Xenopus tropicalis: one gene and its partners. The protein of the gene in region 3 interacts with the protein of the main gene of each other region in a biochemical or structural test. Links are inferred from orthologs where the notes say so. Each region holds a gene or a part of one and is shown on either strand. Other genes may lie near its edges.

Region 1 (4,202 bases), on a different chromosome or scaffold from region 3:
CCACACATGGACTGAAAATCATACAAAATGTAGTACTGGTTTGGCCAGCTTAAGTCTTAGTGAGATCTTAAGCAATAAGGAGGCAATGTAATCAAAATGGCAACTAGATCTAGTAACCCATAGCAACCAATCTGCAGGTAGTGCTTACTAAATTAGGATCTTGAATACAATAGGCCTCGAGACTGGTTACTGTTACAGGTTAGTCTTTATTTTTTTTTTTTTTTATACAAATAACCTTCACACAACATGCACCATAAAACAACTATAAAACTTTGCCAGCTCGGTTAAAAAAAAAGGTAATTCCCCTCTAAACACCCTTAACCGAACACAGATCTAAAAGGTGCCCATACACGTGAAGATTCGCTCGCTTGGCGAGGTCGCCAAGTGAGCAGATCTTCAACCAATATCCACACCTACAGGTGGCAATATCAGGGAACATGTAGGCCAATTCAATCGTTTAGCTCTGGGGCCAAACAATCTAATTATAATGGCGGCAATGGGGCAGTCAGTTCGGGGACCGCATCTTTTAACTGGCCCGATCGATATATGGCCAATTTGGGGCAGATATCGGTCGGGTATGGCCGTCACTTCTGCCCCTACAGGAGCCGATAAGCTGTCATATCGGTCCAAGGGACCAATATCAGCAGCTACAATCGGCCCATGTATGGGAACCTTTAGTGTGGGAATGGACCCAAGCGGAATTATACAGGGATTTTTTTGGCCGCTGTAATCTGCTCTACTGCAAGCAACAAAACTTCACTAGGTTTTCCCACCATTAATTCATATTACTGCCGCTGGGAAGGAAATTTGGGATATTTTGTCAGCTGGAGCAGCGCAGATTTAGCAAAGGGGAACAAAATGTTTGTGACATTGCCCTGAAGGAAAGCAGCCTGTATTTATATTCAGTTAAACAAATGGACATTAAACAAGATAGTGATTGGTTTCATTTTATCATCTTGTTGTTGGTTCTACAGTCACTCTCAGCACCTGTTTAACTATGGGTGCCTTGTAATATCCATTTTGTGAGTAAAGGTGGCCATACACAGGCAGATTTAAGCAGTCAATTCAAGCTCTTTGGACTCTTCAGAAAGAGCATTTAGTTAATTGTTAAAGACTCTGCCCATGACTTTAATTTTGCTCTTAAATATTTTAGTTCAGTTTGGCCAGGGGGGTGGAAGCCTAAATTTCATCTGGCATGTGCAATTTCTATAGTTTTAGATTCTACCATCTACAATAATATAGGGCAGGTAATGGATCACCAACTTACATCCCGTGAGAGGAAAATTGAGGAAATTGAGCAGCAGAAAATGGAAACATAAGAAATCACGACAGCTTGGATAACTGAATTGCCGTTTGTTTTGGCCAGCAGTGTTCCATTGTCCTATTCTGTGACAAGCTCTATCAAATGATGTATATGGTATGCTCCAGTGTTTAGGAGATAAGGAATCATTAACAGACAGTCCTTGGAAAAGGGCAAATGAATATGCCTGTAGGACAAGCATTTTATTACTGGTCTGTGCCTGTACTCTCCTTTATCGGGTTTAATAAATGCCTTGGCTGATTTCAACCCCCCTGGTTGCCTTACAGCAGCACCAGGAGTGGGATAAAGTTAAATGGCTATGAAGTCAGGCAATACACGCACCGATAATATACGATATTTGGTGCGTGTATGGCAACTCGGCAAGGCGACAGATATCGCAGAAGGTTGCGGATATCGGTCGACACTCCAGTCGGGAGCCATTGAAGGCGTCTGAGCAAAATCTGCCTTCAGGGCTGAATCGACAGAAGGAGGTAGAAATCCTGTTGTTTGTACCTCCATATCTGCCGTTTCAGCCCTGAATGTCAGCGGAGGGTTGGAACGATCTTTTGTGCGACCACCATGTGGCCAGCTTTAGTGCTTAATCTATGCCAGCTGCTGTGTGATGGGAGTCACATTGGGGTCCGGACAGCTGGAGAGTGGGATCTGCTGCTGGGCTGCTGTGTCTGCCTGGCTGCTCCAGCTGAGAGACAACAGGGAGGAAGGGAGGGGGAGCCACCGCTGTATTGTAATCCTGGGCTCTGTAACCGGCAGCAGTGCGAGAGTGGGCTCTGGGACAGGCTTAACCAGCACTGACTGGCCCTGCCTCCACTCATTCATAAGCCTCAGATACCTGGGATGCCGTAGGTTCTAGAACTGAGCACTCTTTGCCCTTTTGGTCCCATATAGATTGTAAGCTCTACGGGGCAGGGACCTCGTTCATCTTGTTTCTGACTCTTATTGCAACTGTACCTTGTATTTATTTGTATTTATTGTTATACTTTGTATTTATCCATTATCTTTAACCCCCTGTTTGTATTAATGTATTCTACTGTACAGTGCTGCGTACATAAGTAGCGCTTTATAAATAAAGACATACATACATACATACATACATTTCGCCCCAACCAACAAAACAGACTCTAAAGAAATTATAGAGCATCTCCCCTAATGGACCATACCAGAACGAACAGTCTTACCAGTATCAACACTAAAGATGAACTACATCTCTCATCTTATAGACTCAGGCTCTGCACAGCGTTGGAATAATAAAATGGTCACAAAAAAACGTCACTGTGCGCTTGCCTTACTAGAGCCGGATTAAAGGCACACATAGGAGATGCCGATACCTATGTCCAAAACTCGCTGTAATCAATATGAACACAAGAAATAACAATACCTTTCTCCACGTAGGGTCTGTTCTCTTTTGACAAATAAAGCGACAGCGTGAGCTGGTTTGTGGTTGCACGTTAAGAGACTGTGGGCTCATGTTAAACATCGTCTGCGTCTTCAGCAAAACGACTGAGGATATGTGCGAAGAAGCCGCGTTATATAGCTCGCTGCCTTAGCCAATCAGATCGTCGATCCCAATCTAGCGTACACGACCCTTATCCTATTGCTTCCTCATTCGCCTCTAGCCAGACGTTCCGGGGAGGACTTCTATTGCCAGCCCCCAGGTGCCTTCTACAGCCAATTAGAAGGCTAGCTGAAAAAGCATAACGAGGTATGAAACGCAGAGGCCCGTCAACCGGAAGCCTAAAGGCGGAGACACTTGGGTATGCTGTTGTGCAGTCAGAGGGTGTGTTGCGGAAGTGTTTTGTTGGAAATCACGAGACGAGAGTGAGTCATAGTGGGTGATGCAAGAGCTGGCAAGCTGGGGCCAAGCCTTCCCCCAACCCGAGGGACTTTCCAAGCTTGCTTTTCACCTTCAGGTTGTACGACCTTGTCCGCAACCTGGTTTTATCATAAGAAAGCAACATAAATAGCGAGAACTAAACCTAAAGAAGTAATACAGAGAGATATAAAACCTGCGTTGCTAGAAACAACTAGCGACTAATCCTAACGCCAAAATTGTATAAGGTGCCGGGTTTTTTATCGTTCCAATTATTTAAAGCAATTTCACTTTAGAAATGTAGCTGGCTAGTATACCAACTAAAACACACAGGGGCATATTTATTATAGTGTATAAGCCAGCATGACTTGAGGCGATAGCAACCAATGAGATATTTGCTTTTGTTTCTAACTTGTGATTATTAAAATCTAATTGCTTATTGGTTGCCATGGGCAACATTACCTGTCATGTTGGCTTACACACTGAAATAAATATGCTTCTTAATACCACCTTATAATGTATCTAATTATACAGTTCATTACTCAAAAATAATTTTATTCCAGTTTGCCATGTACATAATGAATACATCTTTATTTAAAAAAAAAAAATCCATGAAAAGTCTATATTAAAAAACCTGTACAAAATATGTATGAAAAAAATCATGAAAAACAATGGAATCCTTAGGTGTAATAGAAGTTAATGTGGTCAAATGAAGTCACTTGATAGTGTCAATGTAGATGGACAGCGGATGTTAGCTGAACAGCATCAATTTAAAATAGCAAAAATACTAAGGTGAAAATATTGAAGCAGTAACAGGTGGGATGGTGGTTTTCCTGATGGAAAAACGAGTTATTTAAGCATTGACTGTTTTAATTACTGAGGCTAGTGCTAGGCATTGGGTATAGATGTATAACTCTTTAATGTACCACCACTCTTTAAATTTGCTGCTTCTCTGCTGTATCTAAAATTGTTGTGCATTGCACCATTATCATCATTCATTTATTTAACCAAATTTGAGGTTATTAAACTGGAAAGGCGCCTCTTCTAGTGAGAAAGTGCTATTGGGCAAATGGG
Region 2 (4,084 bases), on a different chromosome or scaffold from region 3:
TGGGAGACCCAGGCTGGAGTTTGTGTAATAGATGCTGCCAAGCACTTTCTAACACAACCCAAAGTAAATTTTAAAGGAATACTGATTTTTATGGTATAGTTTTAGATCTAAATTACACTGTTTACATAGCAAATAAAATTGTATTCTTGAACCAACAAATGTATTTTTTGGTTGTAATATTGGTGTGTAGGCGCCATCTCAGTGCATTGTACCCGAGTCTGAGCTTTCAGCCAGCGCTACACATTAGAACTGCTTTCAGCTAACCTATTGTTTCTCCTACTCCCATGTAACTGGAGGAGTCCCAAGCCGGACTTGGATTTCTTACTATTGAGTGCTATTCTGATACCTACTGGGAGCTGCTATCTTGCTCCCTTCCCACTGTTCTGCTGGCTGCTGGGAGTGAGGGGGGATATCACTCCAACTTGCAGCGCAGCAGTAAAGTGTGCCTGAGTCTGAGCTTTCACAAGGAGCCAGCGCTACACATTAGGACTGCTTTCAGGTAACCTATTGTTTCTCCTACTCCCATGTAACTGGGGGAATCCCAAGCCGCACTTGGATTTCTTACTATTGCGTACTATTCTGATATATACTGGGAGCTGCTATCTTGATGCTTTCACATTGTTCTGCTAATTAGCTGCTGGGAGGGGGGTGATATCACTTCAACTTGCAGTAGCGGCTGCATTTCCCTCGGCTTATACTCGAGTCAATAAATTTTTCCAGTTTTCTTAGGTAAAATTAGGTACCTCGGCTTATATTCGGATCGGCTTATACTCGAGTATATACAGTATCTTTTTGAGCACTCTCCTTTTCATATCCAAGTCTCTCATTCAAACCACTGCCTGGTTATTAGGGCAAATTGGATTCTACCAACCAGATAGCTGCTGAAATTCCAAATTAAAGTAGTGATGGAAAAAACTGAAGACCAATTTCAGATTGCCTCAGTATATTCCTGTCTACATGAAAGAGTTTAACAGTGAACTAACCCTATATAAAGTAGACCAGTATGCTGTCAAATATGTACTGAAAAGACCTTTCTAAAAATGTTTAAATTATGTGGGATGTTACAAAACCAGATTCTCAAAGTCAGATGGGTTCTTGTTTTCATGTATCTGCATATGTCAGTGTATTTCAATGAGAAAAAGTCTGTCCGACTACTTGTCAGATAAAAGCTCAGCATTTCCACTTTTATACCAGCTGCACCACTGACAGACCCGCACAACTACATAAGACTTATAAGATGTGATTGTTTGCAATCACCATATCCAACAAAATCTCTCTATGTAGTTCAGCCCTAATAGTCACAGCAATACGTGCATACAAACACAGCAATCCATGTTATAATCACTTTGAAAGACGCAAGTTATTATTCTTTCTTTTCTTTATATTCCTTTCCCCGACCCAGTGATACCTTATAGCAGTGGTTCACATACTATGGAACCCGGCCTTTCTGGGGGGGGCTTGAGGCAGTAGTGAGGGTGGCTCAGTTTGAAGGTCAGTTAGGGTGAGAATTGGGGTGAATTACCATTTGCTCCCCTAAATATGACTGAAAGCTTGACAGTTCCCATTCTTATCTTATATAAGATTGTTTCAGATTCAATCCCCCCCCAAACACTACTCCTGCTCATTAAAGCATTTCCCAACCAACAAGAACAACAGTAAAGGGGCACAAGGTGATTTAAGATACGATACCCCTTGTTGTGTTTTTATTTCATAGCCCAAAAACACAGAACCAAAATACACCTACCACTAGCACCATTCAAGTCAATGGCAGGCAGCATGGCCAGGAATCCAAACAAGTTAAATCTCGTTTTACTATTTCTGTTTATGGCTAGCTATACAGAAATTTCCAACACAAATCTCCCGAAATTCGGCTGAAACTGTATGCGATTTTCATTTAACTCAATCACATTTGATTATTACAGGGAAAACATGTTTCATTGTAAAACTGTATCCAATCGGTCACATGAAAATCGAGTCAAGATATCCATGCAAGCTCTTACAAAAGGAATGAAGTGGCTAATGATACAACAAACAGGATTAGAGCAAAGGTGCAGAATGCTGCACCCACTAGGAGCCCATAGGAACCTCTCAGGAATGTACTGTAGTGCAAGGATGCCATTAGGTGAAGGCCAGTCTCCATGACATTGCACCCAAGGGCTTATATTAGGATACTTGGGCAGTCATGCACCCCACACATTGTGGAACTACAACTTACACCACCCCCAGAAATCTTGGTAGGATTCTTTCTATAGGTGAGGGATTTGTTGTGTTTAAGATCTCCTGAGGTGGTGTTGTTTTGTGGTTTACAGACAGGGCCCCCATGGGGGGGGGGGGCAGTCCCAGACCCAGTGGGTTTGGGAATTAAGGGGGGTTGGCAGTGCTGCTCTTACTTGGATTATCGGACCCTTGCTGTCAGTGAGCCGCAGACTTCGGAAGAGCCACAATGGCTTTACAGGGACTTGAACCTCTGTGACAAAACAAGCAGCAGCAGCGTAAATAACATCCAGGCACCATAGCTCCCGCCCTCCCTTTCCAAGTCTGCAGCTCACTGACAGCAGGGGGGCCCGGGAATCCATGTAAGTGCATTCTGCCCAACAGTCCAGCCTTTCCTAACACAGCCCGCAGTCCCACAACGCTACTTACACCTCCCGATAAGCTGTCAAGTGCAGGCTCCCAGCAGCTTCCCAGTCCCACAGAAAAGCCCAACACCGCGTCTCCTCACGCGAGACTGGCGTCACGACTCTACGCAAGCGCAGTGACGCATTACGCAGCCGCTTGTGGGAGGGATGAGTGGGCGTAACTGAGTTGTACGCAGTCGGTGGCTGCTAGGAAGTCGTGTTAGGTCAACTCTCAATCTGGTTTTTTTCTGATCGCACTGCCTTCCTTTGTTAACGAACGAATAAAAAAATACTTAAATAAAAACACTTTTTTTTTCTTGTTGGTTGACTGATATTCCCTTCACCACTTCAGCTCCTAATATAAAAAGTCATTTCTATTCCCGGATCAAAGTTCAGACTTGTGCCAGCAAACATAAAATTACGTTTCCTGGTTGCAGCAGTACCTGACACCCTTAGAGCCTCATATCGCAGTCTGACTAAAAGGGAAAGGGGTTTTGTTCAAACCAGGGTCAAGTGAAATTGCCATCATTTTAGTGTTTTTTTGTTTATTGAAGATTCTGTCACAGTATTAATTTCACACACAGATTTGTGTTATGGTGACATAAACACTGTAAAAGGTCACTTGTTTAAGTCTGAATGGACATGGAGTGACTCCTTAATGTTTAGTAAAGAGACAGTGGCAACATTTTTTTGATAAAGACAGGGATAAAAATGACAAATATCAGGATGCTTGCATAGTTCACACAGCAAGGGAATATATATGGTATATATGTATATGATTTAAAGGTAAGAGCAATATGCATTTGGAACACAGTGAGACAACTGGTGCACTGATTTAAGGCTGTGAGAGGCAAGCAGCTCTGGTCCACAGCTCTATGTGCAGGAGGAAGATGCTGCTGCCTTGGTAACCAGACCAGCCCAGGAAAGGCTCAGGATTGGTTAGGTGGCTTCCCTTGCTGGTCATTAAGCACCAGCAAGAACCCAGTTTCCCATACTTATTCAGTCTGCCCTAATTCAGCACCATGTTACAGGGGAAAGACAGGCAGAGTGGTCACTGACATTGGTATTTTGCCTGTCTTCCACACTCAGTCCCACAGTGGCAACCAGGGCCATGGGGCTCTCAGAGCTTCAAGCTTCCAGTGTTTACAAACATACCACCTAGAAGGGCTGAACCCTGCTCAGGGCTAAGTAGGTGTAGGTATAGGTGCTTTCTGTTGCGTTCAGGCGAAGCTTGTCCTGGAATGCTTTTCTGTCAATCAAATCTTAAAGTTTATGTTGTACTGACAGCATGATCCACCTTAGTTGGCAAAATGTTATCTGTTGTTCAGTAACAGTAGTTAGTCAGGGCTGCAGAAATTTTATGGCAGAGCTCTATGTGAAACCCAAACACTTTGAACTAGAAGTCAAAGGACATGTGAATGGAGGACTCTGTAAAACGTGTTCCTATATAGGCTGCTGACCATTAC
Region 3 (4,008 bases):
ATCATAATAAATAAAACAAAAACCATCTACAGGAAATCAACGTTTTCATGGAAAACTTGGAAAGACAGTATTACAATCAACGGAAGAAACAGCACGTTCACCATGTGTCCGGCCCTTAAAAGGATATCTATATATGATCTATATATCTGACTTACAAATGAATATCATGGCTGGTACAAGGATATTTAGAGCTAACTCCTCTAAACACCTTGTACTCAGCCAGCACCATAACATTCCTGTGAGCTAGCTTAGACTACATTTCCAAGCTAACAGCACAAGGCTTTTATCAATATCACAATTACCTAAACAGGTTAACGTAGGTCATTGCCACTAGCAGTTAATGTATGGGATACATCATGCTACATATTAACAGAATTCACAACAAGTCCATGCCAGTGCTACAGATCAGTAAGAGGTATCAGGCTCCAGTGGCAGTTGGAAGTAGGAGTCAACTACACAACCATATAAGTTAACAGGGATCTAGTGCTAGTTTGTGATGACTGGGAAGTAGGAGACTCTTGGCCTAGTACAGTGCTCACTGTGATATTTACACTTTTCAAAACATTACCTATATCTGAGCCTAGGTCACATGCTAGTACCATATTTTTTGGATTGACATGCACAGTGAACACTTATGGCAGCAAAGAAGAAGTTCCAAAAGCATGACAGTAAAAGCCACATATGGTGCCTTATTGCATTTTGGAGTCAAAGGAAGGAGGCACCAAAATAAACCAGTTTAACAAGTACAAGTAAAAGTCCCCAGCAGCATCTCACAATGGTTGTGTGAATGTCCCTCAGCATTACAGAGCCAAAAGGGTGGGAGAGTTTAGAGAGTCTGATGACTGCTCATTGCTGCTGCTTCCCCTCCGATGTGCGGCTCCACAGTTGGGGAAGTGGTCAGATTCTGGGTATGTGAAGACAAATGATGTTGTATAGGTAGTGCATGTTGGAGTGCAGGTAACAACTGGTGTGCACAGAGGCTCCATGTCTGCAGATAAAGTGCTATACAGTGGCTCCCATTCTGATGTGTAAAGAGAGCTAGTAAGATCTACATCTGGCACAGAACGTGCTGCATCAGTTACACCTGTGTGAGAAGAGTTAAACAGAAAATCATCCAGTGGTTCAGATTTGAGTTCCATAGAGACTTGCAGCTGGGTGTTCTCCTTTTCAGGCATGGAAGACTGAGAAAGGCCAATGGGAAACAGAGGCTCTGCTACAGGCTCCTGAGAGCTGGAAGAACAAGGGGTCTCTGAAATCAGACCCAGATCAAGAGATGAGGTCAAGTCTTGAAAAGCTCCATCAAGATCATGTGGAATTTTGCAAGCTGGTTTGTGAGCTGCAAGTATAAACTCCAGCTTTTCCTTCTCCTTTAGAAGGCCGGCAATCTCTGCCTGCAGGGCAGATTTCTGGTCCTCCAGGTCATCAGTCTCCTACAAGGGAAGAAGGTGGTATAGTAAGAACCTCAAACAATCAAATCCTCCAAGAATGGAGAGCAATATAGATCCCATTTATGTTTTCCATCCCTCTGCATATAGTCAAACTAATATATATATATATATATATATTATATATATATATAATATATAATCTTAACATTTATATAAACTACTGCCTATTTAGTAGCCTACTTACCGCTTGAAGGGTGTCTGTTAACTCCCGACGGCGGTTACGACACTTGGCAGCTGCCATCTTATTCCTTTCTCGTCTTACTTTCCTTTTTTCTTCTTCTTCTGGAGAAAGCTATAAGCAGAGAAAAGACAGACTGTCAATATAAATAAACAAGTAGCTTATAGATAAACAACATCTACCTACACCTGCATTGCAGAAACTAAAGGAAAACAAAGGTCTGACAGTTACCTGCTCCATTTTTCCTCTTCTTCCCAGGCTCTGACCTCTTCCAGCAGATCCTTTCATAACGCTAGATCGGCTGTAAGCTGGTGTGGACCCATAAGGGTGTGCCCGAGACTGTGATGGGGCTACAGAAGAAATAAGGGTTGGCTGTACAAGCCACTGAAGATCTGGTGAGGTGGAAATGGCAGTGACTGTGGGTACAAAACTGCTGCTTGAATCACCACCGAAGTCCTAAAAACACATAAGTAGAAATAGGAGACTATCAGTGAAGAGAAAATACGTATACAATCGGCAATACTGCACACAATAAGTGTTATGTGTATCTATACAAATATACACACACAACCCAGCCATTGAAATTGATAATCCCACCCGGGTTCCGCATTTCCAATCCTAGCACACGAGCCCGAGTATGACAGAAATAGCTCCGCCGTCACTAGTGACGCAGGAACAGCTCTGGAGTCTCCTGAATGAACTCTGGATTTTTATCAATGGAACCGCTTTACACATACAGTGGGGGGAGGGGCAAGAGAGTGCAAAGACCCTGTTGAAGTCAGGGCTACAACATGAACCAGGATTTGGGTGTTAGTCCCAGGAGCAGTGACTATGGATATTCGGGTGCCAAGTCTAAACCCAGTTACTTGTACCCATACAACCAGTAAAGTAAGCCACCCGCAAACACTTCATCACCCTCTTAAAATCATATATCAGATGACTTACCTGTGGAGAAACAGGTGACCCCATGCTAGAGAAGGAAGCTGCAGGGGACGGGTAGTAGGTCAGGCTGTCCCCGGCTGGAGAGGCACTACTGCAACGGGAAGAAGCTGCATCATATTCGGTGCTGCTGGAGAAGGCGTGATACATGGTGCCCTTTGAGGGTAAGAATGTAAAACCAGCTCCGGGAGTAGCAAGTGACAGAGAAAGACCGTCAGTCCTGGCTCACCAAGCTGTCAAACCACTCCGTACGATGAAGCAATTAGTCTGAAGGAACTTGCCTCCTCTCCAGCTTTTTATACCCTGTCAGAGGTTTTTTTTTTACTTTTTTTCAAAGCCTACGTCACGAGTTAGACCCTACCACTATTCAAAGGGACGAGCAACTCTAGTATCAACTCTCGGGGCTTTCGTTTTCTATTTAATTGTGCTGAATGTCAAATATTCTTCAGTTCTTGACAATGACCTAAATGAATATTCAAGGTAGCATTACCTAACAAACGCTTATTTTTTTGTCTCCCCCCTCGGATTTACCCAATGGTTTCACCGAACTCGGGAATCCAAATGACGCAGATATCCTTATAAGGAAAACATCCTGTTTGAGGGCGGTTTGAGGCGGCTAGGGGTAGGGCTGCCGGGAAGAGCCCTAGCAAGCAAAGACAGACACAAAAAGGGAGGGGTTGAGGGTGCGAATTGGGAGAAAGGTAAAACTGAAGAGTGGAAAAAGGTTACGCAGCCCTTTTGAAAACAATATCCGCGGTATCCGTGTTTAATAAAAAATACAATTTTATGTTTATGTAATACAGGTATACACTGCAATTTAACATAAAAGGCAAACGCTGTACAGTTAAATTCTGCTCTGCATGTTAATGATGTAGACTGTAGAGTATACATGTATGATGCAAGTCACTTTCGTTTATCTATAAAATGAATAGCGATACATTTGTATAATTCATATACCCTGTTCTGCCTATAATACAATTACATTTTGTCCTATGTAAAATATGAAAGTGGCTTAACTAAAGAACTGTGGGCCCCAGTAAAAATTACACTGGTTTCCTGGTTTTCACCTGGGGACCCCTTTCCAAGCTTCCCACCACACTGTGCCCCATATGCCTCCAGCTATTCTGTATAACAGAGATTAATATTGATCTTTGTTGCGCTGACCCCCTCAGCTCCAGAAACAAAAATAGCAAACTGCTCAGTGTATTATACAAATACATTGGCTCAGCACTACAGAGCAAAACATCTTGCATTATTATCATTTATATATAGTGCTTATATTTTTTTCACAAGGTTATTATCATTATCATGCTATTATAATTTCCCATATAAATGCAGTTTACAATCTAAGGTCTCTTTTATGTACACACAGAATAGCGCAAATTTTATCAGACGCCAATTCTTTGTATATGTTATTGGAGTGTGGAAGAAACTGAAGTCCAG
Region 4 (4,270 bases), on a different chromosome or scaffold from region 3:
TTTACTTTTAGTGATTCAGTTATACCATGTGATACACTGAGACAGAATGATGCCCCACCCAGGGGTAAGTGGCCAGCTGGTCACACTAATGGCCTGGCACCCTAGGTGGCTCTGTGTCCTGCCCTCAAACTGACCTGCCCTTCTATCACTTTGCAATTCTGTGCCTGGGGGACGAATGTAACATAGGGAACCTGTTTGCATTACAACTGCTCCCATAGTCCCCTGTATAAACTGTGGCCCCTATTGCGGGGCAAGATACACAATCTATTGGGGACCATAGATAAATAGGTGCTTTAGGGGCACTGTATAGAGGCTGGGGTGATGGACAGGCACAATGTACCCCAATACCCCAGAGTGGAGCATAATACCCAAACTATAGGGATAGAGGCTGGGGTGATGGACAGGCACAATGTACCCCAATACCCCAGAGTGGAGCATAATACCCAAACTATAGGGATAGAGGCTGGGGTGATGGACAGGCACAATGTACCCCAATACCCCAGAGTGGAGCATAATACCCAAACTATAGGGATAGAGGCTGGGGTGACAGACAGACACTATATACCCCAATACCCCAGAGTGGAGCATAATACCCAAACTATAGGGATAGAGGCTGGGGTGATGGACAGGCACTATATACCCCAATACCCCGGAGTGGAGCATAATACCCAAACCATGGGGATAGAGGCTGGGGTGATGGACGGGCACTATATACCCCAATACCCCGGAGTGGAGCATAATACCCAAACCATGGGGATAGAGGCTGGGGTGATGGACGGGCACTATATACCCCAATACCCCGGAGTGGAGCATAATACCCAAACCATGGGGTTAGAGGCTGGGGTGATGGACGGGCACTATATACCCCAATACCCCGGAGTGGAGCATAATACCCAGACCACAGTCTGGGGTAATAGAGGCGCACTACAGGGGGCCCTGTGGGGCAATAGAGAGGATGTGCATGGGGGTATAATGGTGCCAGCACTGCCCTGTCCCTTGGCCAAATGATAAACCCATTATAGGCTGCTGCTGCTTTTCCCTCAGTCCCATCACCTGTGGCTGTGGGGATACGGTGGCCGGGCAGGACATTAGTAGCACATAGTATCCCCCCCTCAGACTCCTGCTGATTTGGGGTTAGGGAAAAGCGGACCGGCACTGAGCCTCCCCACGGTACGGACTGTAGTTCACCTGCCATGGGAGAGTGACAGGCAGCTCCCATACACACAGCGCCCCCCCAGTCCCACTCCCCAGGCCGGTAGCTTGAGGCGACCTATTAGCCGGCAGCTCCCATACACACACAGCGCCCCCCCGAGTCCCACTCCCCAGGCCGGTAGCTTGAGGCGACCTATTAGCCGGCAGCTCCCATGACCCGGGCCGCGCCCTGCCTCAGTCCCACGGAGCCGCCTGATTGGCCGGCCGCTTCCCCATATGCAGATGAGCAGGGGATGCCATTCCTCCGCACTGTTACAGTAAAAGGCAATAGATTTGAGGCAGAAGCTCATTCCCACAGCCCGAGAGGGAAGGAGAGAGCGCTCACACGCCGCTTCCCATCCCCACAGCAACTCACCAGCGGGGATACATTACCCTTACTAGCCGAGTCAGGAGTCACAACTCGCACTTCCCACTCTCCGTGACTCTGAGCAACTCTCTGAGCACCATGCGTGGGACCCGGCAGCCTGCAGCAGCTCTAATCTGTCCCTGGGAGGGCAAGAAGCTCCTGTAGGGGCACAAAGGGTTAATCTGAGCACATACCTACCTATGTGAGTCACCCTGCCTGATGCGACTGCCGCTGCTGTGTGTGCCCACAATACAAAGCCACAGGAAGAGAGTGCGGCTAACCGGCCCATGTGACATGCCAAGGAGAGGGGCCCTCAGCTGCCTGGCACCCAGTCCTGCACCCACTAATTCTCACTATTCCTAGGGCACTGGAGGAACCAATGTCTGATTATTGGAGCTAAAATCCACCCCAGCATCTACTATCTGCCCCCTTTACTGCAAAGGAGTTGGGGCAAAGTTCCCTTCAGCCCAGAATCCCCCATAAATACACTCGGACTTAGGATATTAGTTGCTGGGCTGCCCGGTATTGGCTAGACTACCCCTTTGCTCCCAGAAGGCTTGGGCCAAATCGCTGAAACTTTGGAGAACTTCACTTGGCATATATTGAATTATGTTAGTGACCACTGACTCCTGAGTATGATCGCTGTCTCTTTAGCCTGATCGCTGTCTCCTGTGCCATTGACTCCTGAGTGTGCCCACTGACTCCTAGGAGCGATCGCTGCCCCCAGGGAGCGATTACTGGCTGCCAGCGCTGTTGCGACTCTCCATTTAGAAGGTATTTACTCACCAGGCTTGTTGTGATGCGTATCCCCGTAGATACCAGCACCAGCCGCCGCTTCACGCCGCCCTCCACCACTCTGAGTCCGGGGAAGATGAGCGAACCCATCCCGCTAAATGTCACGGACAGCAGCGCCGCCCTGGTGGGCAAGCTGAGAAGCACAGACCGGAATATGGTAGAAGTACTGTCCGATCATCCCGGGGAGCTGGTCCGCACAGACAGCCCAAACTTTCTCTGCTCGGTGCTGCCCACACACTGGAGGTGCAACAAGACCTTGCCCATCGCTTTCAAGGTAAGACCCTGGCACTGTGACTTTATTATCACTCTCCTTGTTCCTAAGAGCTTGCAATCTACTAGCAGGGAGGCAAGAGGAGCTCTAGGAAGCGTGGGTTGGGCGCAGAGTACGTGTGGCACTGTATCATTAAATTATAATAGTTGTAGTTTTAATGGCATTATTATTATTCTCACTATAATTGAGCTGTTGTGCCATAGCGCCAGCCAAGAATTCCCAGCGCCAGTGATACTGGGTGCCTGTGGCACAGCCATTAAGCAGGTATGCTGCTCTCAGGTACTAGCAGTTATTATACAAAGGTTCCCCAGCATCCCCAACAGGCAGAGGTGGTTCTTATTCATGGAATTCAATAGAAGCAAGTGGGTCCCCATAATGAGCAATGTGCCATGAAACCCAACTTATAGAAATATTCCTGCCCTTAGTAGTAGTAGTACGTACTACAGAGCAGATTTGTTCACTGACAACAGCCCCAGCAAGATTGCTGGGAGTTGTAGTCCTGTGGCTTCCTAGAGCCGAGGCAAGCGGCTTGCGTGTCAGACAGGCTGGCATCTGGCGAACAATGGCACGTTTAGTGCCCACAGATAAAAACATGGTTGAAATGCTTAGTACAGCCATATATTAGCATTCATTAACACTCCATGTATCCATTGGTTGAGAGAGGCAAAATATAGGCAAAATGTGGCCTTTCAGATGTTGCTGAACTTCAACTCTCAGAAGCCAACACACTTAGTAGCCCTAAAAAGTACTTCCATGGGCTTCCATAGAGAAAAGTGGCCAACAATCCTATTTTGGGGGTAACAGTCCTTCCTTTAATAGTAATATCAGGGGGAATGTTACCCCCAAAACAGGGAAAATTATTTGAAATAGTTCCCCTAAATGTCTCAATACATTACAGCGATCAAACCAAGGTACAGAATCCAGGGCTTTTACTCTATAATCCCCAGAAGTGTAATTATTATTATTAACACTTATTTATAAAGCGCCAACATATTCTGCAGCGCTGTACAATAAGTGTAATAATATAAATGTAGATGTATTGTGCACGCATGTAAACATGCACTTCCTGTCCTATCCCTCTAGCAAGGGGCAGACGCATGTATGAATAAGATGTAGCTCACCGGCTCTATTTGGAAATGTTGCTAGAGATAATACAAAACATGTTTTTTTTTTTGTGTGTAACTCGTCTCCCAAAAACCTAAACTGCACCCGAGGCTCAGTCTGCACCTTTGAACGTTTCCAGTAAGGAATATATTCCTGTAAAATAATTCACTCGTTAGATCTGACTCACTGTCCTGAAATGTGTCTGGGCTCACTCTTTCAAAGGGGACTGCGAATTTATAGAGCTGCTGTCTCCTTTATTGACAGATACAGGGAGCTCTCTCCAAAACTCACTGGCCCGATGGCGTGAAACTCTCATACACATAATAACAGCTAAATATAGGGGTTTTATATATATATATATATATATATATATATATATTCTAGCACTATGGTCCAAAGCCTCCAGTGTAGGGTGAAAGCCATTCTAATCGGCAGCCATTATACTGATTTCTGTCTGAATTTTGCTTATACTTTCAGATAATAAAGGGCAACTTCACTGTCCCAGGTTTAATAAATATTCCCTATTTATCATGTTTTATATA
Region 5 (4,300 bases), on a different chromosome or scaffold from region 3:
GAATGTGAGTTCTGGAGGGAAACCTTTTCCTATAGAGGAAGGTAACTACATTTCTAATACACAGTATAAAGCGTGAGGGGTAAAAAAAATGTGAAAGTTAAGTTATATGTGCAGTTGCCTTCCAGCAGAATGGAAAGAATACAGTGAAGAAATAAAAACATGCACAGGATTAAGAGAGAGCATTGGAATAGTATTTAGCATTGAGTAGACTATATAGACCAACTAGTCAGGTTCTATGGTTTTTATCCTCCTCCACTTGTGTGACGTGCAACTAAATCTGCGCTGTTGTTCATTGGGCACCCCTGTCCCAGACCGATAACAATCTAATTGACCAAGGCCCCCTGGACCTCCAGATGCCATGGGCCTCAAATGACAAGGAAATTGCCCAAGAGTGGAAGGCACTTCACTGCTTTAAAGATCAATGTCTCGGCCCACACAGAACCTTTCTCCACGGGGGCAAATTCAGCCATCAGCCCTGCAAATGATGATGACTACAGCCAGAATTTCTCCTAATCTCTTTTGGAAGTGGAAGCAAAGAAAGCAAAACTCCCCATACATGTAAACTGTGTTTCCTCTTGTAAACACAGGGATAATGTGGTCTGGCTACCCTCTATGCACCGATTCATTAGCGAAGCTCGTTTGTAGTCAAACGGCCAGTCCCAATATCGAAAAAGGTGTGTGAATAGATAGATATGTAATATATATATATATATATATATATATATAGGTATATGGAGTCTGTAGACAGGAGGCACAACGTCTCACACTACACGGGGCATTGGTAAATCTCGCTAAATTCCCACCTGGACCAGAAACCCTTCATTCCGACTCTCCATGGTATAATTAACACCGATTGTGAGACCTCAGATTTTGCAGGCCTATGTAATGTTGTGGTTTTTCTTTTTTTTTTTTATACAAGCCACGCTTCTCCCTTCACTATTCAAATGCCATTGGAGGCAGCCAATTGCAAAGCAGAAGCAGGGGAGGGCTATGAATGAGCTTCCTACCACCAGGTATGGGAACGGCAAGCCCCTCACTGTTGTAAAGAGCTCGGTTAGCATCTTTCCCTGAGCAGCCAAAGAGGAGAACCTATTCCCTTCCAGTACCAACACAAGCCTCTCATCATGGACTGGATTCAGAAAATGTTGTAAGTGTTCAGAAGCACATAGCAGTGCCGCCGCCGCTCTGTGTCAAAGGATGATTCAGCTAGAATGAATACAGATCTGTCTCAATTATGCCTCAAAAAAGAGGGGGGGGGGGGTATAAAAACTTTTTTTTTTCCCTTGATGTTTCTAAAAGCAAAGACCAAGGCAGAAAAAAAAATGATGCCTTAGCCTCAGCGTGAAGCGCGCTCCGCTCACCTTGTGCGTTTCACCCGGGCTAACACTTTTTGCCGAGTACGTCAGACGCACGGTGTTCATTCTAGCATCGCTTTTGACAGATTTATTTTGCCATGCCCCATAGCGGGAACGATGAGATTGTGTGCTTTGGGTCGGGGGCGCAGTGTTTGAGGGATTGAGTTAACCCCTTCAACGCCTCGGCTTGTGTAGCATGGGTTGATAGGTGAATCTGTGTATGACTTGCTGTGTGTCTATTTCCCTTTATTTACACTGTCTTGTTGTGCGGACATCTGTGTTTACGGTGCAGCTATGAGACTGGATGCCCTTTTTTAAAAAAAGTTGTGTCTCCGCTATCAAACCCACAGGTTGGAGTCTATCAGCCCCCCACGTTGTAGTTGGAAATAAATGGAATCTATATACATATGTATAGGCAGCACATATAACTGCTCACTCCTGCGTTTTCCCTTCTGTTCCCTAAATGTCCTGCCAAGTTGCAGCACACAGAGCATCCAATACTCCGCTGCGGTTAAATCCTATTTTTCCTAATTTCCTTTAAACAGTGGGGTGCCGGGAAGTAGGAAGGGAGTTCAAGTGAGCTGCTCACTGAAATGATTAGGTGACTTTGAACAGACTGCGCTCTGTACCTAGCCCTGCCCTCTGTGTATTTAAATACCTTTCCAGGTGATACACCTGACTTGATGTTGCAGTCTAGGTTTTTTTTTTCTTTTTGGTGCATCAATGGGGTGAACTATGTCCCCCCCCCCCCATTTGAGTTAGGTAGGTGGAGGTTATGTGTTGAACTCTCTAGGGTTTCCTCTTTCGCCTAATGATAGCCTTTCGGCGATGGACCAATTTGTGGCTCGCCTCTCCGGCTCAGCACCAGTCACTCGCGGCCCGCCATTTTGCCAGTTAACGCTGCTTCGGTCTATATGAGAGCAAACCAATCTGACTCCGAATGATCCCCATATCCAAATTTCAAGGTACTCACCCCAAAAGAAGTTTTGCTGACATGGTGTCACCGAGCTGAACAGACTGTTGGACGCCATCGTCCTTCTTCCTCTGCCGAGTGGCGCCCGTCCGCTTTTTTTTTTTTTTGTATGTCCCGGCAATAAATATTCCTCAGACTGAAAATAGAGATTGTGGTCACCATGGATAGTTCCACTTGACAGATGATACCTACTCCTATAGCATAGTCGTCTATACCCCCCCTATTTCGAGTTAGCTATTCCATCCTAGCACATATATGTATTTCACAGCCCAAAAAAGAGACTATTATTACGGCACCTATTGTGGTTTAAGAGGCACTTACCGACAGCGACGGTCTCGACGGCTGGTAGCGACCTGCGGAGATTAACCATTTAAAAACCAAAGGCTCCGCGCTGTCCTCCTGGAGAAAGTCGTGCACCGCACTTGTGGTTCTGTGGTTGTTTGTGAGGCGAATGAAGCATTCACACAATCCAAAAAAGCAAAAGCTTTAAAACTCCTATTTTTTTTTGGAAGCAACGTTACTGGAGAGGCAGTATCATGTGGTTGATGACATCAGAGCTCTCAAAGGGGGACAGACTTTCAGTGTGGCTTTCTCTTTTTTTTTTTCTTCTTCATATTTTGACAAAAGGATCGTGGTAAGGCCTTTCCTGGCATCCAGAAGGGATATAGCTTTTTAATTTTTCTGACTCATGAGGATTTGGAGAGAGTACAAATACAGCAAACGCTTAAGACTCCTGTACGGTGAAAGCATATGGAGTGCAGAAGTGAAATTGTACAATACTCTCTTCAGCCTTCAAACTTCATGTCAGATATTTTTTTTTTTTTGTTTCCTTGACTTTTATTCTGCGTTTATTATTATATCTAGGAAAAGTGAGTGAAACTGGCACAGCCAGATGCCTAATATTCCCCAACAACAGCGATGATTTATAATAATTCTCCTCCTTTGGGTTGTGTCGGTGGAGCAAGGTCTGCTTTGGATTTACTGGGTGGTTGGATCCTTTCTGTTATTCCGCTTGCTCCTTGTCTTCCTGTGATTGGGGTTCTGTAACTCATTGTAAGAGCCTCTCTCCTGCGTTTCTGGGAGTCTGGTAGCTAACTGCTTAGCCGGTTGCTGTGTAATTGGCTGTCACAGAAGCTCTAGGCTGGAGATTCCTTTACAGAGGTTTAAATCAAGTCTGTCTACATAAACTCGGGCACAGCAGGCAGACCTGGCTTTGTGGCCAAGTGACGTTTAAAGCTGTATTACCTGGAATCTTTATTTTATTTTTTTTTAAATTGTATAAACGATAATTATAATCTTTTATTTCTTTTACATCCCAAAAAGGTTTCAGTATTTCTGTTTTATGTGTATCTTCAAATATGTGCCACCAATCCACTTTACATATCTTAAAGTGTTATTTCCTATTCCTTGCTTAGCATTCTTATCTTTAGTCACTCTTCTGTTTGGTCAGAGCGATGGCAAGGTATTTTTGGGTGCGTCATTTCCCTTGGGGGTGACTGTTGGGAGACGGAAGCTCAGATCCACTTGGGGTGATTACAATTGGTTGTAAAGGCGGTTAGGGCCTTATTTTGTGTTGTTGTTGTTATTATTATTATTATTATTAATAACATTTATTTATAATGCGCCAACATATCCCGCAGCGCTGTACAATAAGTGGGTTTCATACATTGGACATACAGAGTAACATATAAAGCAATCAATAACCGATACAAGAGGGGAAGGGAGCCCTGCCCAAAAGAGCTTACACTCTACAAGGAGACATACAGAGTAACATATAAAGCAACCAATAACCGATACAAGAGGGGAAGAGAGCCCTGCCCAAAAGAGCTTACAATCTACAAGGAGACATACAGAGTAACATATAAAGCAATCAATAACCGATACAAGAGGGGAAGGGAGCCCTGCCCAAAAGAGCTTACAGTCTACAAGGAGACATACAGAGTAACATATAAAGCAATCAATAACCGATACA

The links. The genes of interacting proteins can lie anywhere in the genome.
Region 1: the proteins of fos (region 3) and ddit3 form a complex in vitro, tested with the Homo sapiens proteins (2 studies listed by BioGRID and IntAct, with this or other methods). The link is inferred for Xenopus tropicalis from reciprocal best matches to the Homo sapiens genes FOS and DDIT3.
Region 2: the proteins of fos (region 3) and atf2 form a complex in vitro, tested with the Homo sapiens proteins (3 studies listed by BioGRID and IntAct, with this or other methods). The link is inferred for Xenopus tropicalis from reciprocal best matches to the Homo sapiens genes FOS and ATF2.
Region 4: the proteins of fos (region 3) and runx1 form a complex in vitro, tested with the Homo sapiens proteins (2 studies listed by BioGRID). The link is inferred for Xenopus tropicalis from reciprocal best matches to the Homo sapiens genes FOS and RUNX1.
Region 5: the proteins of fos (region 3) and runx2 form a complex in vitro, tested with the Homo sapiens proteins (2 studies listed by BioGRID). The link is inferred for Xenopus tropicalis from reciprocal best matches to the Homo sapiens genes FOS and RUNX2.

The regions. Positions count from the first base shown.
Region 1 is NC_030678.2:140,584,251-140,588,452, forward strand, and holds the start of ddit3 (DNA damage-inducible transcript 3 protein), read right to left. Parts: upstream 2,801-4,202; 5' UTR 2,697-2,800; intron 1-2,696. UniProt on the Homo sapiens protein: Multifunctional transcription factor in endoplasmic reticulum (ER) stress response. Plays an essential role in the response to a wide variety of cell stresses and induces cell cycle arrest and apoptosis in response to ER stress.
Region 2 is NC_030685.2:64,415,398-64,419,481, forward strand, and holds the start of atf2 (cyclic AMP-dependent transcription factor ATF-2), read right to left. Parts: upstream 2,801-4,084; 5' UTR 2,644-2,800; intron 1-2,643. UniProt on the Homo sapiens protein: Transcriptional activator which regulates the transcription of various genes, including those involved in anti-apoptosis, cell growth, and DNA damage response.
Region 3 is NC_030684.2:82,309,800-82,313,807, forward strand, and holds the start of fos (proto-oncogene c-Fos), read right to left. Parts: upstream 2,801-4,008; 5' UTR 2,716-2,800; coding exon 2,572-2,715; intron 2,083-2,571; coding exon 1,858-2,082; intron 1,741-1,857; coding exon 1,633-1,740; intron 1,431-1,632; coding exon 801-1,430; 3' UTR 1-800. UniProt on the Homo sapiens protein: Nuclear phosphoprotein which forms a tight but non-covalently linked complex with the JUN/AP-1 transcription factor. In the heterodimer, FOS and JUN/AP-1 basic regions each seems to interact with symmetrical DNA half sites.
Region 4 is NC_030678.2:13,898,239-13,902,508, forward strand, and holds the start of runx1 (runt-related transcription factor 1), read left to right. Parts: upstream 1-1,470; 5' UTR 1,471-2,357; coding exon 2,358-2,627; intron 2,628-4,270.
Region 5 is NC_030681.2:147,664,074-147,668,373, forward strand, and holds the start of runx2 (runt-related transcription factor 2), read right to left. Parts: upstream 2,801-4,300; 5' UTR 2,650-2,800; intron 2,465-2,649; 5' UTR 2,387-2,464; coding exon 2,329-2,386; intron 1,148-2,328; coding exon of another isoform or gene 1,125-1,147; exon of another isoform or gene 1,062-1,124; intron 1-1,061. UniProt on the Homo sapiens protein: Transcription factor involved in osteoblastic differentiation and skeletal morphogenesis. Essential for the maturation of osteoblasts and both intramembranous and endochondral ossification.